3 linked regions of the Macaca mulatta genome follow. The protein of the gene in region 3 purifies or fractionates together with the protein of the main gene of each other region. This does not show direct contact. Links are inferred from orthologs where the notes say so. Each region holds a gene or a part of one and is shown on either strand. Other genes may lie near its edges.

Evidence for each region.
Region 1: the proteins of BRMS1L (region 3) and RBBP7 purify together in Homo sapiens (affinity purification with mass spectrometry; 4 studies listed by BioGRID and IntAct, counting the BioPlex papers as one, with this or other methods). This does not show direct contact. The link is inferred for Macaca mulatta from reciprocal best matches to the Homo sapiens genes BRMS1L and RBBP7.
Region 2: the proteins of BRMS1L (region 3) and SAP30 purify together in Homo sapiens (affinity purification with mass spectrometry; 4 studies listed by BioGRID and IntAct, with this or other methods). This does not show direct contact. The link is inferred for Macaca mulatta from reciprocal best matches to the Homo sapiens genes BRMS1L and SAP30.

The regions. Positions count from the first base shown.
Region 1 is NC_133426.1:16,536,680-16,544,510, reverse strand, and holds the start of RBBP7 (histone-binding protein RBBP7), read left to right. Parts: upstream 1-3,358; 5' UTR 3,359-3,703; coding exon 3,704-3,719; intron 3,720-3,772; exon of another isoform or gene 3,773-4,111; coding exon of another isoform or gene 4,112-4,259; intron 4,260-4,533; coding exon 4,534-4,678; intron 4,679-7,831. UniProt on the Homo sapiens protein: Core histone-binding subunit that may target chromatin remodeling factors, histone acetyltransferases and histone deacetylases to their histone substrates in a manner that is regulated by nucleosomal DNA.
Region 2 is NC_133410.1:181,803,397-181,811,241, forward strand, and holds the end of SAP30 (histone deacetylase complex subunit SAP30), read left to right. Parts: intron 1-1,844; coding exon 1,845-1,970; intron 1,971-2,397; coding exon 2,398-2,496; intron 2,497-5,672; coding exon 5,673-5,795; 3' UTR 5,796-5,987; downstream 5,988-7,845. UniProt on the Homo sapiens protein: Involved in the functional recruitment of the Sin3-histone deacetylase complex (HDAC) to a specific subset of N-CoR corepressor complexes. Capable of transcription repression by N-CoR.
Region 3 is NC_133412.1:108,943,029-108,951,043, forward strand, and holds the start of BRMS1L (breast cancer metastasis-suppressor 1-like protein), read left to right. Parts: upstream 1-3,153; 5' UTR 3,154-3,210; coding exon 3,211-3,352; intron 3,353-8,015. UniProt on the Homo sapiens protein: Involved in the histone deacetylase (HDAC1)-dependent transcriptional repression activity. When overexpressed in lung cancer cell line that lacks p53/TP53 expression, inhibits cell growth.

The sequences.
Region 1 (7,831 bases), on a different chromosome or scaffold from region 3:
ATAAGAAAACAAACAATAAAGGAGAGTATAAAAGAGCAGGATCTCTGTATGTCTTGTTCATCCAGCTAGCTGCAGTTTCCAGAACACTGTTTGGCTCACAGTAGGTACTTCAAAAAATTTTTTTGAATGGCTAAAACTTTTTTGCCCCCAACCTAGTGAACCATAGTTGCTAATGAACATGGAATCACTCTGCAGGTATGTCTGGGTATTATGTCTCTGATTCCTTTTAGTAAATAGTTTATTCTATCCATAGGATCACTTTTGCTGTCTTAATATAAGACTGATTAAATTCAAATTCCAACTCCAGCACTCACTAGCTATGGCACCTTGGCAAGAAACCTCACCACTCTGGCTCAGCTTCCTCATCTGGTAAGCACAGGTCCAGGTGCTGAGGGTGCAACAAAACAAGAATCCTACCCTCTAATTTACATTCTAGTGTGCAAGAAAAAGCCTGTGGACAAACATCTGTCAGATGGCGATAAGCGATAAGCACTGTGAAAAAACAGAAAATAGAGTAAAGGGAATAGAAGGTGATTACCTGTGGGGGTGGATGGGGGCATGTTGCTATTTTATAAAGGGTAGTCGGGAACAGCTAAAGGTTTAAACACTAGGCCCAGCATGGTGGCTCATGCCTGTAATCCCAGCACTTTGAGAGGCCAAGGTGGGCAGATCCTTGAGCTCAGGAGTTCAAGACCAGCCTGGGCAACACGGTGAAACCCTGTCTCTACTAAAAACAAAACAAAACAAAATCTGGGAATGGTGGCCTGTGCCTGTGGTCCCAGCTACTCGGGAGGCTGAGGTGTGAGGTTCGCCTGAGCCCAGGAGGTTGAGGCTGCAGTGAGCTGTGATCGTGCCACTGCACTCCAGCCTGGGTGACAGAATGAGAGCCTCTTTCAAAAGAACAAAAAAAGAAAAAAGAAAAAAGAAAAAAAAAAAGAAAAAGAAAATAAAAGAAAAAGGAAAGAGAAATTTAAAAAATCATAGTATAGTGTTTTTCAAACTTCAAGTTGTGACTAAGCTCAATCATGAAGTCCATTTAGAATTTGCATTTTTGGAAAAATGAAATAAAATTCATCCCTTTCTTGTGTGTGTGCACCTGTTTGTGCCTGACTCTATTAGCTGAGCACAGAAGAGACAAAAAGAACAACCCCAGAAAAGTGCCAGAAAAGATTAGGACCAGAGCTAAGAGGTTGGGGAGAAAGGCAAACCCAACAGATAAGCAATACAAGAGAGAAAACATCACTTTTTTTTAATTCAAAAAAAAGTAGTTGATGGAAAAAAGGCCAAAAAAAAATTAAATAGAATTGACAGATTCAATTTAACAACAACAAAAATGCAAAACCAATGAAATATGCTGTACATGATACCTTCGGATTAAATGCATGATAGCGTGTGAATATTCTCAGAAACTCCCAAAATATTTGTTCCGTATTTCCTTCTCTGACCCTCACTGAGGTCAACAGTATCAAGATTTTAAAGCCACGTCGTCTGGGAAGATTTCTTTTCTTTCAGTCCTTCAAACATTTCTTTTAATAGGTTTTGGAAATCATGCCTACTTATCAGAAATCAGTACACTGTATTAAAGGGATACAAATCATCTCCCAAGCCGCCTCTTGTTTTGCACACGAGGTTCTCTTTGAAGCAGAGCCATAAGGTACAATTATTCTAGAACAAGGTGGGCAAACTACAGTCCTCCGACTAAATCTAACCCACCACGTTTTTGTATGGCCCTCGAGCTGAGAATGGTTTTTCCGTTTTCAAGCGGTTGAAAAAAAGATTTTGTGACCCTGAAAACGATTTCAGTGTCTGTAGTTTTATTGGAACACGGCCAAATGTATCCACATTTTCCACGGCTGCTTTGCGCTACAACGCGACAGAGTCGAGCAGTTGCCCCCGAAGCCTAAAATATTTACTATCTCGGTCCTGTTAGAAAAAGTCTTGCCAACCAGCGTCCTAGAATATGAGGGCTGTATTGCTTAAACACCCTTCCAACTCTTTTCCCTCTCCAGCCACCCCCTCAGCCTTAGGCACTAACAAGATTCTTTGACCCGGCATAGGGGGAGGGCGTTATAATAATGAACTGTATTGTATCGGAAACAAGACAGTAAATATCTACAGAAGGGAATGTGTGACTGGTTCTGCCACTGACTAACGTCTGGGTTTGCGTCCCGGTCAGAAAAGTGGGCATGACAGCGGCATCTGCAAGATAGCATCTGAGCATGAAGGCACTTGGAAAGGTATCAAGGCAGCAAATGTTCCGGGGGTGCTTTTGCAAGAGGAGCCTCTCTCGGAGCTGGACGTACACTTCGGTTCCCTTTGCACGCAGGCACCTTGGTCGCCTCCCCCAACTCCGTCCCCTCTGCTCCTGGCCCTCATTTTCTTTTATTCCCCTTTTGGCCTTGCAGCCAGTTTTCTCCTCCCCCGATACACTCCCCAGGGGCTATGAAGTTCCCGAGCAGAGCATGGCTCAGGTAAGCAGGCCCAGGGCAGTTCAGCCCTGCTCTCTCCAGCTCCGCCAGCTTGGGGTGGGGTCGCCCTGGGACCCCTGCAGGTGACAAAAATGACTCAGCAGGGGCCGGGGCTGGGATGCGAAAGGAATGCCAGTGCTGGAACAAAATCCCCTGAAGCACGAAGAGGCCTCAAACCATCATCTTAAGGACCCAAACATCGAACAAATTAAAATGTAACAATGTAAATCGGTTTCGGCCCGCCGGCGGCCTGTGCCGCTACAGGCTGCACATTTAGCCTAACAAGGCGGCCCGGCGGCTTTTGCAGGCAAAAAACGCCCGCGGCCTCTCCAGAAGCTCTCTTCCCTCTGAGACCAGCCCCACCTCGGCCCGACCGGGCCCCAGGAAAGGCCAGTCGGCTGGAGGAGAACATTTCAGGGGTGCAGAGAATTGCATGTCCGTGATTATCAGGGAGACTTTGAAGGCACAGTAATCTCTCGAGAACAGGAACCATTTTCCCCTCTTGCTCTGAGATTTTGCTTGGCTAAGCGGCAGCAGCCTCCCTGCCCCCCTCTCACCCCCACCACCGCTGCCGCTACCAGCAACCACGCCCCGCGGGCCCCAAGGCTAGCCGCCCCGGGGCTCGCGGCCCCCGCTCAGCCGGCCAGCCGCGCCTCCATCCACCCCACCCTCGCGCGCCCCCATCCGCCCCGCCCCCTCGGGCCCTCATCCGCCCCGCCCCCGCGGCCCCCATCCGCCCCCGCGGCCGGCCCTGGGAGCACCGGGCGAGCCCTCGCGCCTGCGCATCGCCAACTTCCTGCCGCGGCACGCTCCGCCCACCCCCAGAAGCCCGCCTCCGAACGCCGCGTGAAACCCGCCCGCCGCGCGTCATTGGTCGCGGCGCTGGAGCCGTTGGCTCCCAGACCCGCCTCTCCGCCTCCTCTCACTTTTCCCAGGGCGGATGCGCCTGCGCTTAGCTGCCTGGGCGGGCTGGGAGGCGCGGGTTGAAAAGTCTCGTTCCAAGTTTGGAGAGAGAGAGAAGAGCGCCTCAGACCTCGGTACCCGCGAGCGGGGAGGAGGCAGGAAACAAGGACGCGGCGTCTGGGGAGCACCCAGGCAGCAAGACTGGGCCCGGGCTTTCGACCGCGGGGAGTGTGTGACGCGTTTGGGAAAGGCAGGAGCGCCAGTGGTCGGGCTGCTCTTGGCTAACGAGGGGAGTCCGAGGCGGCGGCGAGGGGCGAACGACCCGACGCAAGATGGCGAGTAAAGAGAGTAAGAGGCCCTGCGGGGCGGCGCGCGCCGGGGCCGCGGGGGGCGGCGGGCGCGCGAGGCCGCGGCACGCGCCGGCGAAAGGCGCGAATTGGCGTGCGGAGCAGGGGGCGGGGCCGGGCGCGAGGCTGGGCGCGCGCCTCGAGGGGCCTGCGCGGGACGGGACCGCCGTGCCGAGGGCTCCGAGCACTTCCGGAGCCGGGCGCGGGGCCGAGGGCTGGGCCCCTCTCTTCTCTTCCCTCCTCCAGAGGCTGCGCTCCCTCCGGCGCCCTCGGCCCCGGGGCGGAGGCGGCCGCCGCCGCCGGGAAGCGAACGCCGCGGCTCCTTCTACGCGCGCGCGTTGACCGCCTCGGGGTCGCGGCCCTTGTCCGGGGGTTGCTGGAGCCCTCAGGCCTATGGCTGCCGAGGCGGGTGTCGTGGGAGCTGGGGCCTCCCCTGATGGGGATTGGAGGGACCAGGCCTGTGGGCTTCTGGTACACGTGCAGTTATCTTCCCGAGTGGGTCGCGCAGCCCCTGTACGTACAGGTCGTCATCTTAGAACAGGTGCGAACAGCTGTAACAGGGTAAACAATTTCCATGTCCGTGTAATTGACTACCCAACATGGTATACGCAGAGGGTATTGATCTCAACGGAAAAAAAGAGGCTTCGTGGTTGGTAGTATTTTCTTCACCTTCTGGAAGAGCAGTTAGTTGTCCGTGTCCAAATTAGAGGTAAAAGGAAAGAGTACATGAGGTGTGGCCATCTTGAGGTGACCTCCAATTTCTGACTTCGATCCATCTCAGCCACTTAATTGTGTGGGCTTTCTCCAAATTTCAGTGTTTGAAGATACTGTGGAGGAGCGTGTCATCAATGAAGAATATAAAATCTGGAAGAAGAATACACCGTTTCTGTATGACCTGGTTATGACCCATGCTCTTCAGTGGCCCAGTCTTACCGTTCAGTGGCTTCCTGAAGTGACTAAGTAAGGGTTTCTGGCAACTTTTTTTTTTTTTTTTTTGCTTAAATTTAACTGTCGTTCTGAATTTCCTAGTTTTGGCGTTTTATACCTAGAACATAAGTATGTAATCAGCCCTTGCATGGGGTGGCAGGTGGTTTTTATTTTCAAAACTTAACGTGATTTATGGGATGATTTCTGGCGTATAGTGTGGTGGTAAAAGGGGAGAAAGAATCCGTTGTGAGATTAATGGTATTTGGAGGAAACACTGAATGTATTTGACAGTTCCTGGGCTCGAATGTAGAGCAGCATCTCTCTGGGCCCAAACTAATGCGTTTCTTTAAAACTTTATTGAAAAAGAGAATATTTACAGAAAAGTTCACACATCATAAGTGTTGTATGGCTTCATAAATTTTTGCAAAGTGAACACACGTAACAGTCACCCAAGATAAATACATTTTAATTGGTAAAGGCAAAAAGACCTTGTCAACAATTGACTAAAGAAAAGATGTTATTGGCTTATGGAATACACTTTGAGATTGCCGTTAGTCTTCATAAGAGTATTCTTTTCTGTTAGATCTACAGTTTCTCTGGTAATAATTGCTGGCATTTATTGAGCACTCAACAGGGCCTGGCACAGCTGAAGAATCTACGTCTTGTTGTAATCCTCACAGTAGTACTATGCTGTAGGTAATTTTCATTATCCTTGTTTTACTGATAGGGGAACTGGGAGTGAGCGTTTAAGTGCCATCCCAAGATCACACAGCTGGTCCCTGCGTTAGTCTGCCTTTCTCATTCACTTGAACCTTTTCTAGTAGGAACTTGACCATGTACTTTTAAAGTGTATTAAATATGGGGCCAGGCACAGTGGCTTATACTCCTGTAATCCTAGCGCTTTGGAAGGTTAGCTTGAGCTCAGGAGTTCAAGGCTGCAGTGAGCCATGATTGCGCCACTGCATTCCAGCTTAGCCAACAGAGAGAGACCCTGTCTTCCAAAGAAACAACAAAAAAGCATCTTAAATTTGAGTGTTGTGGGCATATAATTTAAAGAGGATTAAATGAAACTCTAACCTAAAAAGAGGATTTTGCAACAAGTTATAAAAATAATAAGCTAATTTTGGCTGGGCGCGGTGGCTCACGCCTGTAATCCTAGCACTTTGGGAGGCCGAGGCAGGTGGATTGCCTGAGCTCAGGAGTTCGAAACCAGCCCAGGCAACACGGTGAAACCCTGTCTCTACTAAAATACAAAAAAAAAAAAAAATTAGCCGGGCGTGGCAGCGTGTGCCTGTAGTCTCAGCTACAGGGAGGCTGAGGCAGAAGAATTGCTTGAACCTGGGAGGCGGAGGTTGCAGTGAGCCAAGACCGCACTACTGCACTCCGGCCTGAGCGAGAGCAAGACTCTATCTCTTAAAAATAAAAATAATAATTACAATAATAATCTAATTGTATATAAAACTGCTCTTACAATGGCTAGGTTCTCCATATGCAAACATTGATTTCCATACAGATAGGAATTTCCACTGGGCTTCCCAAAAATCTAAATGTAAATGTACAGATGTGGGAAGAGTAGAGAAGAACTAAGTGATGGACACTTGGAAGCATTGACGTTTACAGTCACCTTTGAACAGATTAAAAACTAGATTAAGCATCGTATGCCCAGGGGTATTCAAGTTCTGGTTTGAGCATTGTGTGCATTTGCCTCTTTGGTCTGTTAAGCAGATTTAAAATGTATTAACTAAATTTACCTTTTTGGGGATCTTTTTGACCCACTGTAACATAATGGAAAACAGCAGGGACTTTAAACTTAGAGACCTGGGTTAGAATCATGCCCCTGCTTCTTCTTAGCTTTGTGAACTGGGGCCGTGTTGTCTGGGCTGTAAATGGAGATGTTGGTCGTACTGACTACCTACATTTGAGGGAATTAAATGAGATCATGCATGTTAAAGTGCCTGGTGCAGCATAAGTACACAGTAAGTGGTGACTGATGCTGATTCTCCCACCCCTTCCTGTTCAGAAATAATTTGTCAGGATTGAAATAGCTCTGTGTTTCTTCATTTGGATTTCAATGGAAGCTACTTGCTGAAGTTTTTTTTTTTAAATGTTACCTATAATATGTAATACTTAGGAATGTAACAGAAAATGCTTTAATTAAATTATTTAATATGTATCATGGTGTTCTTTGTATACAAAGCTGTTGTGGGATTGAGTTGTGGGACGTGCAGTGCCTTAGAGAATGTAAGAAAATGCCAAGCAGCCTGCATTCTTGGATGTTGAGGATTGCTGTGTGGTGCTTTGCAGGGTTCAGTTAGGGGTATAAAGGGACTGTGTTTTATCACCATACAGAACAGTAAAAATGTTGACTGTTCCTCAGTGTCTGACTCTGAGGAACAAGACCCTGCTCCACCTCATAAGCCTTTCTTCTGCCGACTTACAACATGCTTCATAACAATTACTTGGACTTTCTGAGCTATTGTCCTTCAGTTGAGTTAGGTAATTGTCCAAATAATTGATTTGGCTTGCTTTTTTTTTTTTTTTTGAGACAGAGCAAGACTCTGTCTCCCAGGCTGGAGTGCAGTGGCACCATCTTGGCTCACTGCGCCCTCCACCTCCCAGGTTCAAGCGTTTCTCCTGCCTCAACCTCCTGAGCAGGTGGGATTACAGGTGTGTACCACCACACCCAGCTAATTTTTGTATTTTTAGTAAAGACAGCGTTTCACCATGTTGGTCAGGCTGGTCTCAAACTCCTGACCTCATGATCTACCCACCTCAGCCTCCCAGAATGCTGGGATTACAATTGTTGATTTGACTTTTAAAAGGTTTTATTTAGATATCTCTAAGAAATTGTTTTTTTTTTTTAATTAGGTAGTTATTTCATATCTCTTGTTGAATAATGTTTTAAATATATTGAGACTAAGTTATTGTCTACCTAAAAAGCTTTGTAGTTTTTCAAATTCAGGAAGTACAAAAGGATGTAGAGTGAAGAATAAGTCCCCTTTCCACATCCCTTACTGTCCTACTTCCTTTCCCCAGTCATTGTTTTCAATTTCCTAACCCATCCTTGCCAGCGTGTAGAAGTGCATACCTGTATCTTCATTTTTTATGGTAGCAAGTTCTTGAGTTTGTCAGTAAGAGTACATATTGGAGATTTTCCTGTCAGCATGCTTGGATATGCTTGTTCTT
Region 2 (7,845 bases), on a different chromosome or scaffold from region 3:
CTGCCCTCCTGTCCCCTGGTGGGGCCCCAGGAGTCGGGCAAAGGCACGGATTGTCGGCGGGGTCTCCCAGACCTGGCTGCAGTGCGGTCTCGTGGAGTCTGTGTTTGGAAGCAAATAACAAAGTCGCTGCAACTCCGACCGCCACCCCAACACACACACAACACGCACGCTGTCGTTCCCCTTTTCTTTCCCACCCTGCCCCCAGCCTCCCGCTGCCTGCGACTCTCCCGCGCACTGTCTTCCCTCTTCCTTCTCCTCTGCGACCAGGACACGAAACAAAGGGGACCGCCGGACCGAGGGCCCAGAGTAGTTTTCTTGCAGCCCGGCAGCTCTTCTGGAATGGAGGCGCCTTTGTTTCGCTGCCCAAGCTGGTGTTTGGCCCCAGGCGGTGCTAACTCCCCTGGTCTAGGGGAAAGTGGAGGACCTTCGCGATCAAGGAAGATCCTGTTCCTTTCTGTGCTCCGTCTCCTCCGGAGCGGAGTGAGAGGGAAGCCGAGCTCGCCCGCCGCCTGGCAGTGAGCCGGGGCTGTAAACGGCGTTTGCGCTGTCAGCTCCGAGGGCAGCTGCTCCGATGGTGGGGAGCACGTAGCCTCTGCGGTTTTGCCATCCCCTTGGCAGCCATCAGGATTTCTTTTTTCCTCCTCCTGCGCGTCTTTTCGTTTGACCATCTAACAGCCGTTGCTACTTTTGGGAGATCTGGCTAGCGGTAAATGAATAACATGGTATCAAGAACCTACCACAAGTCCTGCGTATTTTTATCTTGCGCTTGGCTTCGAAGTAAATGTAAAAGCCTGTTAGCTCAGTCCGTATTTGTTTCAAATGTTAGTCTACAGTTCGCAGGAGTGTGTGTAATTAAAGTTTTTGAAAAGTTTATTTGTGATACTTTTTTGCCCGTTTAAACAGTTTTCAGTGTTATCCGTGAGAAACTTTTCAGGTGAACTTGCATAATTTCAGATTGCTTTGGGAAAATGTGTTATAAATAAATACATTGATTTAATTTAATATTCAGAAAAGTTGATAACTGAAATTTAAATATAGTTATGAAGTCGATAGCTCATTTGTAAAAACGGATGGTTTTGTATCCGGAATATAATTTGGGCATTCAGTTGGAAAGACTGGAAAGCATACATTATGTTACAAAAATATGCTCTTCTTTAAGTAGAGAAAGTACTGTCAAGTAGCAAAAGTGGGCAGCATCATCTTTCCCCTTAACAGTTAAAAATTCAACATGAACTAATTCATGTCATCCTCACTGCTATTTATTTATTTATTTATTTATGTGAGACAAAGTCTCACTCTGTTGCCCAGGCTGGAGTGCAGTGGCGCGATCTCAGCTCACTGCAACCTCCACCCACCAGGTTCAAGTGATTCTCCTGCGGTAGCCTCCTGAGTAGCTAGGATTACAGACTAGTGCCACCACGCCCGCCCAATTTTTTGTATTTTTAGTAGAGACGGGATTTCACCATTTTGGCCAGGCTTGTGTGGAACTCCTGAGCTCAAGAGGTGCTGGGATTACAGGCGTGAGCCACCGCGCCCGGCCCCTCACTGCAATTTGATGCCAAAACCCAGAGGGTTGGAATTTCTCATTCTCCTCTCCCTCCCTCCCTTCACCCCTTCCCCAAATGGAACCAACCCCTCCTTCCCCATCCACCATCCTTTTAACAGTATTCCAGACTTCTTATGTTTTAACAGGGTTTAGGATTTAAATGTATAAATATTTCATTGTGTTAACAATGGCCATCTTGACTGTCTTTATTTTTACTATCTGTGGCATATGTGTTTTACTAATACATAGACACATTTTACTGTAATCATTAGCAGTGTGTGAAACTTTTCTGTTTCAGGCAAGGCATCTTTACATATGTGATTATCATAAAAACTTAATTCAGAGTGTTCGAAACAGAAGAAAGAGAAAAGGGAGTGATGATGATGGAGGTGATTCACCTGTTCAAGATATTGATACCCCAGAGGTAAATGGAAGTTTTTTATGCTTAATATAAATCCTAAGTAGTGCATTCTGAAACCTTTATAAAAAGATATGAACAATCTTTTAAGTGTTTAAAACATTTGAGAAATCTGAAAATGAAAGCAAAATTAAATATAGCCAGTTGTCATGCATTTACACAGTTTGAATTGTTACATTTTAAATTGACAATTTTTGCGGCTCTGTTGTCACATAACTTACTCTTTTTTGACCTCAGTTTATATTATTAATCCCCAAAAGATTAAACTGTTTAATAATTTATAGGTTTGATTATGTAAATTTTTTAAATAATTTTTTTGATTTTGGAAGTAAATTTTTATTGTGCTGAAGTTAAAATGTTTGTTATTATACATATCGATGATAAATTTTCCACAAATTGTATGAACTAATTTATGCATGTTAATTTTTTCTAGGTTGATTTATACCAATTACAAGTAAATACACTTAGGAGATACAAAAGACACTTCAAGCTACCAACCAGACCAGGACTTAATAAAGCACAGCTTGTTGAGGTATATATGATTTTTAAACTATTTGAACTATGCACAACCGAGAGGCTGTTAAATGCTAATGAAAGTATTAATGTAGTATATGTAACAGTACATTTAACAGTACATTTTATTTAGAAAGAACAATGTTAAAAAATCTATTGTGGAAGAATCTAGTTGTCTAGAAATGTTTGTCAGCCACTTAGGAAATTCCTTTTTGTAATGACTACTCAGCAGGTTGTGTACAGCACCTTCTGATACTGGCTTTCAAAATGTGTTGTTTGTTTTTTGAGACAAAGTCTCGCTCTGTCACCCAGGCTGGAGTGCAGTGGCACGATCTCGGCTCATGGCAACCTCTACCTCCCAGGTTCAAGCAATTCTCCAGCCTCAGCCTCCCAAGCAGCTGGGACTTCAGGTGTGCACCACCACACCAGGCTGATTTTTGTGTAATATCTTTAGTAGAGATGGGGTTTCACCATGTTGGCCAGACTTGTCTCAAATTCCTGACTTCAAGTGATCCGCCCACCTCAGCCTACCAGAGTGCTGGGATCAGCAGTGTGAGCCACCGTGCCTGGCCCTCAAAATGTTGAATGAGAGTTTTTTTTAATCCTCACTTTAGAAATCTATTAGTTTTAAAACTCCATTTAACCAGTAAATGTTTGAGCATCTAATTGAGGCATAATAAATTTAATTAGCAAGCTTTAATGTCCTTATTAAAATTTATATTTTAAAGTGGTGGAGTAGGCCTACAAATCAGCCCCTAAACAGTATTTTTATAATTTGCTGACTTAACTATTTCAAAATTGGTCCTTGTTGATGTTAGTTTTATTAGAGACATCTATGTTTTCTTCACATCTAGAAGAGGCAAAAGCTTTTCTTTTACCCAATCTTTTACTTGTAGTTTGCTTTGACAGAGGACTTCTAGTTAGTCAGTGAGTTGTGAAAGTTAATGGAGTATGCATATGTTCTCAGGATATAATAGAACCAAGAAGTCTGTGCATCTTATTAAGATGCTTATAGATTGATATATTTATATTTTAATCATATTTAAAATTTTTGCTTGCAGCTACTCAGGAGGATTGATTAATCCTAGGAGTTTGAGTCACCATGGGCAACATAGCAACACTCCATCTCTAAAAAAGAAAATTTAGCCTACTAGACAAAATAGAAGTGTAGATATATAAATCGGTTTTCTCATATTCTTTGCATGGATTTAGTAGTTACCCAACATTTTCTAAAATGTACAACATTTCATTGAATAAAATGAAATATGAATAGAAGTTACATTTATCTGATGGAACGCTTTTTAACATTGTTAAAATCTAATACATTAACTATTTAGCTAAAATTTCTTATCCTTGGTTAGGCAACACGGATCTAATTAATTTTTCTTTAATTTTGATTTAAAAGATCAAGTTCTTTTGGGGTTGTACAATACATTATGTAACGTAAATATAGATCTTGCCCACCATGATGAAATATTTCAGTAGGTACTAATGGAGTGAAGGCACCCCTGTTTTGGAACAAATGAGAACCAAAGAACTAATTATTTTAAATGTTACATTTAGGTATAAATTAAACCTGAAATTTTTGATAAACTGACCTTCTAAGAACAGTTATATTATTTCTAGAGCTATTTTCTTTTTTATACATAAGAGATAGCCATGAGTGTTATATTTTACTTAATCAGAAATGCAGTTATTAACAGGTTAAGGAATGTGGAAATGTGCAGATGTAGTACATATATTTTAAGACAGGGGTCCCCAACCCCGGGGCCATGGACTGGTACTGGTTGATGGCCTGTTAGGAACAGGTCCACAGAGCAGGAGGTGAGCACCAGCTAGCAAGAATTACTGCCTGAGCTCCGCCTCCTGTCAGATCAGCCGTAGCATTAGATTCTCACAGGAGTCCAAAACCACGTGTGAAGTGCACATGTGAGGGATCTAGGTTGTACGCTTGTTATAAGAATCTAATGCCTGATGATCTGAGGTGGAACAATTTCATACCAAAACCAACTCCCCCACCCCCAATCTGTGCAAAAATTGCCTTCCGTGAAATCGATCTCTGGTGCCAAAAAGGTTGGGGACCACTGTTTTAAGGGATTCCAGGGTTGTATGACTAAGTCTTAAGTCTCGTAATTGTTGTGTGGATGAACTTTTTTCTTAAGAAATTCTATTTTCTGGAATCTAAATATGCTTGTCAGCACCTCAGGTAAGTCTATTAATCTTCTATTCGTAATTGTAGTATGCATATTACATTAGCACAATGAAAAGGCAAGGAAGCAGGTAAACATCCTTCATTGAACATCCCTCTTTCTCCTCTCATTTCCATTCACAATTTTTATTCAGAAAAATTTTCAAGGAACCTTAACCAAAGAATGCTACCAAGATACGAATGAATGAATGTAATTTGCAGCAAATAATTTATATGTTATTGTTGATTACTACCAAAAGTTTTCAACTTCATACTTCTTTTTCTATCAGTAGGGTCTAAACCATTGCAGGTTTAATGATGCATGTGGTCTCTTACATCTGTTTTATCTCATTTAAAGTTTAAAAGTAAAAACATGTATTCCCTACTCTAGATTCCAATTATAAAATTTATTATTTTTATCTTATTTATCTTTTTTGAGACAGAGTCTTGCTCTGTCACCCAGGCTGGAGTCCAGTGGCGTGATCTCAGCTCACTGCAACCTCCACCTTCTGGGTTCAAGCAATCCTCCCATCTCAGCCTTCTGAATAGCTAGGATTACAGGTGTACACCACCACGCCTACTTAATTTTTGTATTTTTTTTTGGTAGAGATGGGGTTTTGTCATGTTGCGCAGGCTGGTCTTGAACTCCTGGGCTCAAGTGATCCCCCTACCTCCGCCTCCCAAAGTGCTGGGATTACAGGTGTGAGCCACCACTCCTGGCCCAATTATAAAATTTAAAATAAATAAAAGGAAAATGTATTTTCTAATCAATGTATAGTAAATTGAGTGAGCCAAAAGGTCCTTTGAAATCACATTATCTCTTGTTCATAACATTTTATTCTTAAATGCTTTTTGTCCTGTTGGTATTTTCTTAAATATAATTTTTAAAGGAAATAGCTCTTATCACATAGATTTTTTCTTTGGATGAAACCGTATTTTTTACCTAGTTTATGAAACCTGTTATATCTAAAATTTAATTTCCTTAATTTTTTTTTTTTTCTTTATAGATAGTTGGTTGCCACTTTAGGTCTATTCCAGTGAATGAAAAAGACACCTTAACATATTTCATCTACTCAGTGAAGAATGACAAGAACAAATCAGATGTCAAGGTTGATAGTGGTGTTCACTAGGAGACGTGGAATTGAGACTAATAACTTGGATGATAACACTGTTTACTGTTTTTTCACATGTAGAAATGTTCTTTGTGTATTTTTTCTACAGAGGATTTTCTCTGATTTTATTTTCTTTGTTTCTGACTCTAATAATTAGTTGGAAACTCATGTAAAATGAGCTTTCCTAAATTAAAAACTATTTTAAATAAAGGTTATTACTATTATAGTTGCTTCAGTGTATTTATTTTGTGAAACTTGATTTTTCTTTTAAACTGACTTAGAGATCAGTATTGATATTTTAATGTAAAGTCCTTCATTTTATAACCCCCTTTTTTTTTTTTTTGTAAACTTCCAAGAAATTAACAGGGTAAGGAGAAGTAACAAATGTAGCACATTTGCATTCTCTGGGACAATCTGACTTGGAATTGAAGATATTTTAAATAGCATTATTTTTTTTAAGTGCTTTATAATGCTAGCAAATTTGAAAAATAAGCTTCTATTGGAATACAACTTCTTTTTTATTTCCTTTTTTTTTTTGTTATTATTACTTGATGAAGTACTAGGAAGAACAAATGGTTTAATTTATATACCCACCTCGTTCCAAAGACAACTTAATGTGCCAGTGAAGATAAACACAATGCTGAAAGTCGAAATAAGAACATGAAATGAAATAGCTGTTTTTGAAAATTTTGTCTTTGGGAAAAGATATTTATGTGGCATGAATACAGAAAGTACCTCTGCTATGCCCCTTAATTTTTAGTGATGTCCTGTACTGTTTACATTGCAAATGGTAACTAGTAAGTTGGAGAGGTCTAGATATCTAACAAGATCTTCATTTAAATTTTGGTTATATATGACTGACTTGATTTATCCATCTCCGTTTTATGTTTCATTCCTGGTCAGTTTTCTATCAAACATTCTAAACCTCTGCTTTTCCTGAGATTATATTGTTTAGCTAAATCCTTATAATTACAAATCAAATTTATAGTTTGTAACGCTTCAGCAAACTGTTGTGAGATAAAGCTGCGGATTTTAGGCTGGAAATGGATGAGACCATTAATGTAGCTCATGATTTCTCAAAGTTGACATTTGGACTCAATAATTCCTTTTGGTGGGAGGCCGTTGAGTCTATTGGAGGATTAGCAACATCCCTAAGTCCACTCAGTAGGTGCCAGTAGCTCCTCCAAGGTGTGACAACCAAAAATTCCTCTAGACACTGCCAAACATACTTTGATGGTCAAAATCACAGCTAGTTGAGAACCACTGATGTAACTAAAGTACTGCATCTAAAGTACTAGTTCATTAGTAGGTGACTGCATATTTTCAAGTGTTCTTAATGTATTGACTGCTAGAAAATATAATGAACAATAAAGCAACTGGTCTTTGGTTTTGCTATGACCATTGAAAGATTTGCTTGCTACTTTATTAGCAAGCACAGGCTGTAATAATTGCTGTCATAGAAACTTCTCATTTCTGGAATTCTGGAAATCTGTGAGAAGACTTCTTATAAAAACATTTTGAGGCCGGGTACACTGGCTCACACCTGTAATCCCAGCACTTTAGGAGGTCAAGATAGGCAGATCACTTGAGCCCAGGCATTCAAGGCAAAATGGTGAACCCTATCTCTACAAAAAAATACAAAACTTAGCTAGGCCTGGTGACGTGCATCTGTAGTCCCAGCTACTTGGGAGGCTGAGGTGGGAGAATCACTTGAGCCTGGGAGATTGGGGCTGCAGTGTGCTATGATTGCAGCACTGCACTCCAGCATGGGCATTGGAGTGAGACCGACTCAAAAAAAAAAAAAAAAAAAAACCCAAAATGAAACCCATATTCTGTTCTTGTGAAAAACAAAAGCTTGAAATTATTTGCTGATATAAAAGTATGAACATAACCTTTGGCAATGTTAATTTCATATAATTATTTGTGTAATAAAATGTAGTTTTATAAAATATGAATGAAGAGTTCTGGATGGTAGTTATTCAATGAAATCAAATCCTTGTTAATTTAAAATACAAAAAATCGGATCTTGTAAGTTGAGAAGTAACTCAAGGAGCTGCAATGTAAAAGT
Region 3 (8,015 bases):
TCATTATTACCCTTTTAACTACCTTGATTAAGGAAACTTCATTCTGCTTCCTTGACATTATTTTATTTTGTATTTTCTAAATCAACAAAATTATTTTTTAGCCTTATTAACTTTTCCCTGTTACGGTTCTTCTCACATTCCCTAAGCATCTTTTCTAAAATCTGTTTGAGAAGATGAGAGAAACTCTTACCTTAGGCAAAATACTCTCATGCAACTCTAATTGCATACTCTCCTATTATTCTGTCTGCCTTAAAAATAAACTTAATGATGACAGGAATTTTAGAGCTGGAAGAGAACTTAAAGTTAACACACTGCAAACTTCTTATTTTACAACAGATCAGAGATTATGTGGTTTGCCAAACTGTATCAGTTGGTTACTAGGAGAAGGAGGGCAAGAACCCATGCCTCCTCCTTTCCACCTTCCCTCTGTTTTTCCTGGAACAGCAGAAACAGCAACCACGAGAGGCGCACTGTATGCCAGTGGTTGCACACAGATTCTTATGTCAGACTACTCAAGTTTAAATCCTAGATCTGTTACATAGTAGCAGTGTGACTTTGGCCAAGTACTATAACTGCTCTGTGCCTCGGTTTTTTCATCTATAAAATGTAGGGCATAATAGTATCGACTTTACAGGATTGTTATGAGGATTCAGTGAATTAATGTACTTAAAGCACATAACACACTTGGCACATTGAGTCACCATAAATCTAATTGTTATGATTTAGCACACACTCTGATAGCTGCTGATATAACAAATATTTAGAGGCCGGGGATTTTACCCACAGCTGTTTTTGTTTGATCTGAAGTTTAAAGAACACAAAACAAAACAAAAAACATCACTTGAGATAATGTTTATAGTTCTAGATATTTCACATAGAGATCCAAATTTCTGGTTTCTCTTTGAAATCAGGTCTGACATCAGTAGGCCAAAATTCTCAGGTAGTAACAATTGGCTGGGGCCAAAAGCAGCTGCCCCCTTTAATCGGTACCACTCATGTAAGGCTTACATCTTGTAACTTGACCTGCCTGACTACCGCATGCCTTTGTATTTGCATTTCAGATTAAGACAGCCTCTGCTCTCAAGGAACTCACAATCCAACAGGTGAGATGCATTTGCTAAACAATTTACAATATATTGTGATAGGAACAAGTATAAACTTGCAAATTTCAAAATACAGCAGTCACCTGAAGGAACAGGAGTGCCTTGAATGGTAGAGGTGCTGATGGTGACGTGTGTTGTCTAAAAAGTGGCTTTGAAAAAGAAAAGGAGAGGAACAGGGTTGTAAAGGAAATAGAATGTGCAAAGACATTGAAATGAGAAACAGCTTGTGTGTTTAGAAACTATAAGGAGTTCAATTTTGGAGAATACTGTACAACGAGAAAGGGAGAAGTAGGCTGACACTAAATATAATACACACCTCTTATTTTGTATTTTACTCTGTAAGAGATGTGTAGAACTTAAAAGTTTTCTGTCATTAAATTACAAATCTAGGTCGGGCACAGTAGCTCATACCTGGGAATCTCAGTGCTTTGGGAGGCTGAGGCGGACAGATTGCTTGAGACTAGAGTTCGAGACCAGCCTGGGCTAGACCCTGTCACTAAAAAAAAAAAGAAAATATTAGCTGGGCATGGTGGCATGTGCCTGTGGTCTCAGGTATTTGGGAGGCTGAGGCGAGATGATCGCTTGTGCCCAGAAATTTGAGGTTGCTACTGCACTCCAGCTTGGGCCACAGACCCAGATCCTATCTCTAAATAAATAGATAGATAACTAAAGAAAATTGAAAATTTAACTTCATATCTTTGGCCCTTGTCTTTGAGAATGCAGTGCTATACAATCCACAATATTCTATGAACTTTTTTTTTTTCTCTTTGAGACAGGAGACAGGGTCTCACTCTGTCACCTAGGCTGGAGTGCAGTGGTGTGATGTCAGCTCACTGCAACCTTGACCTCCTGTGTTCAAGTGATTCTCTCACCTCAGCCTCTGGAGATTGGGTTTCACCATGTTGGCCAGGCTGGTCTCGAACTCCTGACCTCAAGTGATCTGCTTGCCTCGGCCTCCTAAAATGTGGGGACTACAGGCGTTAGCCACCCTGCCGGCCTGTACTATTTTTCAATAGCAAATTGCCACTTCAAGAAGAAACCCTGTCGTTATAAGGGGTAAAATATAGTTTTAAGATTGGTCTGCAAATGAAGTTTCCTTATCTGTAAAATGGGAATAACAATGACACCTAACTCAGGGCTATTAAAGTGAGACTTAAACTCACTAAACTCATGTAAAGAGCTTACCAAGATACCTGATACAGAGGATAAGTGGTCAGTTAATGAGTCACTGATTCTTCCTTGTCTATGTACCCTTTTTTTGAGAAAGTACATCTCACTAAGTATGTATTTTTCATTGAAAACTAAAGTTAAATCAGGACTGATGACATTTTGCGACTGCATCTGGTAAAAAATAAATGCAAAAAATACTAGATTGAAAATGCCAATATAAAACTTACTTTCCGTATTGTAAAAGTTTCAAGAATAAAGATTTTTGCGCAACATAGAAACTGCAAGTTATCGTCTATAGTTAATAATTAAATAAAACAGTTTATTAGTGGTAGGTAATAAAGGTACTTAGTAAAAGAGACGGTTTGCCAGGTCCCCCGGCTCAATGAGCAGGCAAAGATTCTTTCAGGCAAAAGACACTTTCACATCTGACAGTAACATCTCGGATAGTCAGGCAGGTCAAACAATCACTTGGCGGGAAATAGATAAATACACACTAAATTCGCACAATCTGTTTCTGTTTAGTTTATAAACTGCGATCCAGAGGGTCAGCTTTCGTGCCTTGTGGGACTTGAAGTCCAGAAAGAAGAAGTGATCAGGGCTGCCGAGGCATGGAAGGGTGCAGCCCCTGCAGGTCTGAGCCCTACGAACCACAACTCCCGGCAAGCATCGGAAGGCCGCGTCGTAATTACGGACAACCAATCGTACCAGAGCAGGGCAAGCCCCGCCCTCTGGCTCGGTGGACCGCCTCCGCCAATGGCAGAGCTCCCATCGCAGAGCCTGCGGGTTAGGTTGTGAGGCCCGGGCCGGGGGCGGGGAGGAGCCAAGGGGGCGAGCAGGCTCGGCCGCTGGGTGGGTCGGGGCGTTCCGCGCGCCCTTCATTGAAGCGGCGGTGGCCGGGCTGGGCGCCGGGAGTGGGAAGCGACGGCGCGGCTTGAAAATGCCGGTCCATTCCCGAGGGGATAAGAAGGAGACCAACCATCACGATGAGATGGAGGTGGACTACGCCGAAAATGAGGGGAGCAGCTCCGAGGACGAGGACACTGAGAGTTCGTCGGTCTCCGAGGATGGAGATAGCTCAGGTGCGCGACCCAGCAGGGCTGGGACCCTGAGTCCCCGCGCCCAGCGCGCGACAGGCCGCTCTCTGCACGCCAGGCGGCTGCGTCCTGCTGGGAAAGCGGGGCGGGGACAGAGGGAAGGGGCGGAGACTGGCTCTGGGCCCTGGGCTGCACCCGGTCCGGTCGCTGGGCGCTGTCTGGCTCATGATGGGTCTCGGCGGCGGGGCGGGGCGGGGCGGGCCTGGGCTTGCCCAGCTCCCGAACGCGGCGCAGTCCTGCCCCCGGTGGTGCTCTGGAGCGACCGGCCGAGGCGGAGAACTTCCCACAGCAGACAAACTGGAAATGCCTCCTCTCCCCAACCCACCGACCTCTTTCCCTATTTTCTGCTTTGCAACCCTCACTTCTCAGCGCTAGTGGGTTGCCGGGGCCGAGTGTCGGCTTAGTAATTAACCTCAGTTTCCAAGTCAACTTGCCGGTGAGCACTTTTACGTCAGTCCCTTTTCGGGGGCTAACTTGAGAGCTGTCCCGTTCAGTAGCTCCCTGAAGTTTGCAAGACCTAGAGGAAGGGACCAACATTCGGGCTCATTTTGCGTCTTCATATGCTTATAAATTGGCTGAGTTTTGGCAGCGTTGAAAATTCTCCAAGTCTTTTCTTCCCTTCAATTTTTTTCTAACTTTGGGCTGTTTTAAATTATGTTGGGGTGGGGGAGAAGGAGGGCAGATTAACACCACAAATAAATTTTGCAAACTTTTAGGAATGTTTATTCCAAAGTGAAATGGAATTTGTGATTACCGGGATTATTTTCCTTCGATTGAAATGATGGAGATGAGACTGACTTCTTTGTCTTGGCCTGATTTTGGTCAAGCATTGATGATAGGTTTATGACAGCCTAGTATCATCCACATGCCCTCTTTTCATGTTTCCCTTGCAAAGCAAATCTCCATGGAAGGATATAATTTCAATCAATAAATCAGCCATCCAAAAATATTTATGAGTGACTTCTTTGTGCAGCACTGGGTAGTACTCAATATGAGGGATAAATAGTTATTATCTGGGCTCTCTTAAAGAGCTGTCATACATCACCACTTGATTAAATGCCAAATGAATGCTTAACTAAATATTGCTGTGGGAATTCAGAGGCAGAGGAAATCGTTTCAGTATTGGGTGGTGGTCACAAAGGCTAGCTGAAGAAGGTGGGATTACCTTAATTATCTTGAAGAATGAGTAGAATTTGGGTTGGGGTTGTGGGTATCCCTATAGGGAGAGGAATGTAAGGAAAAGTACAAGGGCCAGAGTTTAGGGCTTATTCAAAAGCGTGAAAACCTTGGGAGAAGAACTTGAGGTCGGAAAGGAACAGGAAATATAGATGTGAGGGATTTCAAAGAAAGCACAAAACAGGATTGATGAATGCAAGTTTAGGATTGAAGGTAAGAGAAAAACCAAGATACAAGGAGAGTGGCGGTAGCATCAACAGAAATAGAAAAGTGAAAGATTTAAGATGAAGGTGAAAGATAAGAGTATTTCAGACATGTTGCTTTTTTTTTTTTTTTTTTCTCTTTGAAACGGAGTCTCGCTCTGTTGCCCAGCCTGGAGTGCAATGGCATGATCTTGGCTCACTGCAACCTCCACCTCCCAGGTTCAAGCAATTCTCCTGCCTCAGCCTCCCGAATAGCTGTGATTACAGGCACACACTACCACACCAAGCTAACTTTTTGTATTTTTAGTAGAGACAGAGTTTCTCCATATTGGCCAGGCTGGTCTCAAACTCTTGACCTCGTGATCCACCCGCCTCGATCTCCTAATGTGCTGGGATTACAGGCGTGAGCTACCGTAACCGGCCTTTTTTTTTTTTGGGAGAAGGAGTTTTGCTCTTGGCACCCAGGCTGGAGTGCAATGGCGCCATCTTGGCTCACTGCAACCTTTGCCTCCGGGGTTCAAGCAATTCTCCTGCCTCAGCCTCCTGAGTAGCTGGGATTACAGGTGCCCACCGCCAATGCCCGGCTAATTTTTTGTGTTTTTAGTAGAGACGGGGTTTCACTGTATTGGTCAGGCTGGTCTTGAACTCCTGCTCAGGCGATCCACCTGCCTCGGCATCCCAAAGTGCTGGGATTACAGATGTGAGCCACCATGCCCGGCCAGACATGTTATGTTGCTTTTTTTTTTTTTTTTTTTGAGACAGAGTCTCACTCTGTCGCCCAGGCTGAAGTGCAGTGGCATGATCTCAGCTCACTGCAACCTCCACCTCCGGGGTTCAAGCGATTCTCCTGCCTCAGCCTCCAGAGTAGCTGGGATTACAGGTATGCGCCACCATGCCCAGATAATTTTTGTGTTTCACCATCTTGGCCAGGATGGTCTCGAACTCCTGACCTCAGGTTATCCGCCCGCCTTGGCCTCCCAAAGTGTTAGGATTACAGGTGTGAACCACCCTGCCTGGCCGACATGTTGCTTTTGGAGTGATGGCAGTATGTTTAAGAATGCCCAACTGACAAATGCAAGTGTGACATTGGAACCTGCCTGATATGGAAGGGGAGAATAATTTGTAAGTCATCTGCCTTGCCTTGAAAGTAGGTGAGATTTCGAAAGTGGGGAATATAGAGAAAGGAGAACATCTAGACTATATGGGAATATATTTCTTTTTTTTTTTTTTTTTAATTTTTTTTTGAGACCGAGTCTCACTCTGTCACCCAGGGTGGAGTGCAGTGGCGTGATCTCGGCTCGCTGCAACCTCTGCCTCCTGGGTTAAAGTGATTCTCCAGCCTCAGCCTCCTGAAAAGCTGGGATTACAGGCATCCGCCATCACACCCGGCTAATTTTTGTATTTTTAGTAGAGATGGGGTTTTGCCACATTGGCCAGGCAGGTCTTGAACTCCTGACTTCAAGTGATCCACACGCCTATGCCTCCCAAAGTGCTGGGATTACAGGCGTAAGCCACTGCACCTGGACTGTTTGTGAATATATTTCTTAGATCTATAAAGTATTTTATCTTCAAATGTTCTTGCATTTATGATAGGAGCTAGGATCTCAAAATTCCATTTGTTAAAATTCTCCCCCTATAATTTTTATGTTGACTGTTGTGATTTTTAACTTTTAAAAATTCCATCCCAGAAAATAATGGACAACTTAATTTTTGAAGAATGTGGTAATAATTTGAACTGCAAGCCAAAAGTTTAAGTGCAAAGAAATTGTTTAAATACATTTTGCAGTTTGCTTGTTAAAGCATCTCTGTTCTACCATATGTCTTTCATGTTAAACTTTCACAGTGTTTTCTTCTCAAATGTTGGTACTGAGCAAATTCTAAGGCTACAGAAAAGTCTCTACTGTCCAAAGAACTTGGATAGTGAGTCATCTTGAGGGACCAAGTTTTAAGTAGCCAAGAAGTAAGCAATCAAGAGCCAGAAATATTTTTAATCTGTTTTAGAAAATTAGAAAAAAAGTCATAGCCTTCCTTGTTATATAAAAATAATTGAACGTGATTTAACTCTTTCTCATAGTTTGACTTTTATTTGATGAAGATCAAGATGCAGATCATTTTGTGCTTCAGTTATTTTGATGAATGAATATATGTGATGTGAACATAGAAAATGTGGACTATAGGACAGACCTGGTAATTAACAGTTGCTTTCCTTAAAAAGTTTGTATTTTCCTCCTCATTTGCCTCTTTCTCACTGACTGATAGTAACATGGGGAGACAGAACAATGGGAACGTAGGAATGGCAGACCAGGAGAGCCTGTGGTAAACAAAATAAGATTAGTTTCCTTTTTTCTTTTTCTTTTTTTGAGATGGAGTTTTGCTCTTGTTGCCCAGGCTGGAGTGCAGTGGCACGATCTCGGCTCACTGCAACCTCCACCTCCTGGGTTCAAGCGATTTTCCTGCCTCAGCCTCCCAAGTAGCAGGGATTACAGGCATGTACCACCACGCCCAGCTAATTTTGTATTTTTAGTAGAGACGGGGTTTCTCCATTTTGGTCAGGCTGGTCTTGAACTCCTGGCCTCAAGTGATCCACCTGCCTTGGCCTCCCAAAGTGCTGGGATTACAAGCATGGGCCACCGTGCCTGGCCTTTCTTTCACTTTTCTTTTTTTTTGAGACAGGGTCTCTGTTGCCCAGGCTTGCGCAGTCTTGGCTCACTGCAACCTCTGCTTCTCAAGTTCAAACAATACTCCCACCTCAGTCTCTCTAGTAGTTGGGACTACAGGCATCCACCACTATGTCTGGCTAATTTTTGTATTTTTAGTAGACATGGGGTTTTACCACCTTGCCCAGGCTGGTCTTGAACTCTTGAGCTCAAGCAATCCTCCGGCCTCAGCCTCCCAAAGTGCTGGGATTACAGGGATGAGCCACCACGCCTGGCCACTTTTCTTTTTTTATGTGACTGGCAAATCAGCCATGTGAGCAGTTTGAAAGAAGAATCCCAAAAGTGTTTTTGAGCAATGTTAGCCTTTAAAGGACACAATCATTTTGGTGCTACATTCTGGTGAGTTGGTGGAAAACAAACCGAAAGTGGGCTAATTACTTTATAGTCATAGCTTAGAGTCAGTCCTTTAAAGTGATTTAAAAATGAATAAAAATAAGAGGGTCTATAGACCAGTATAGTTTTATATACTCATCTGTATTTTAGATTAAATCTACAGTGGATTTTTTTTTTTTTTCTTCAGACTAGGTCAGTCTGTCACCCAGGGTGGAGTGC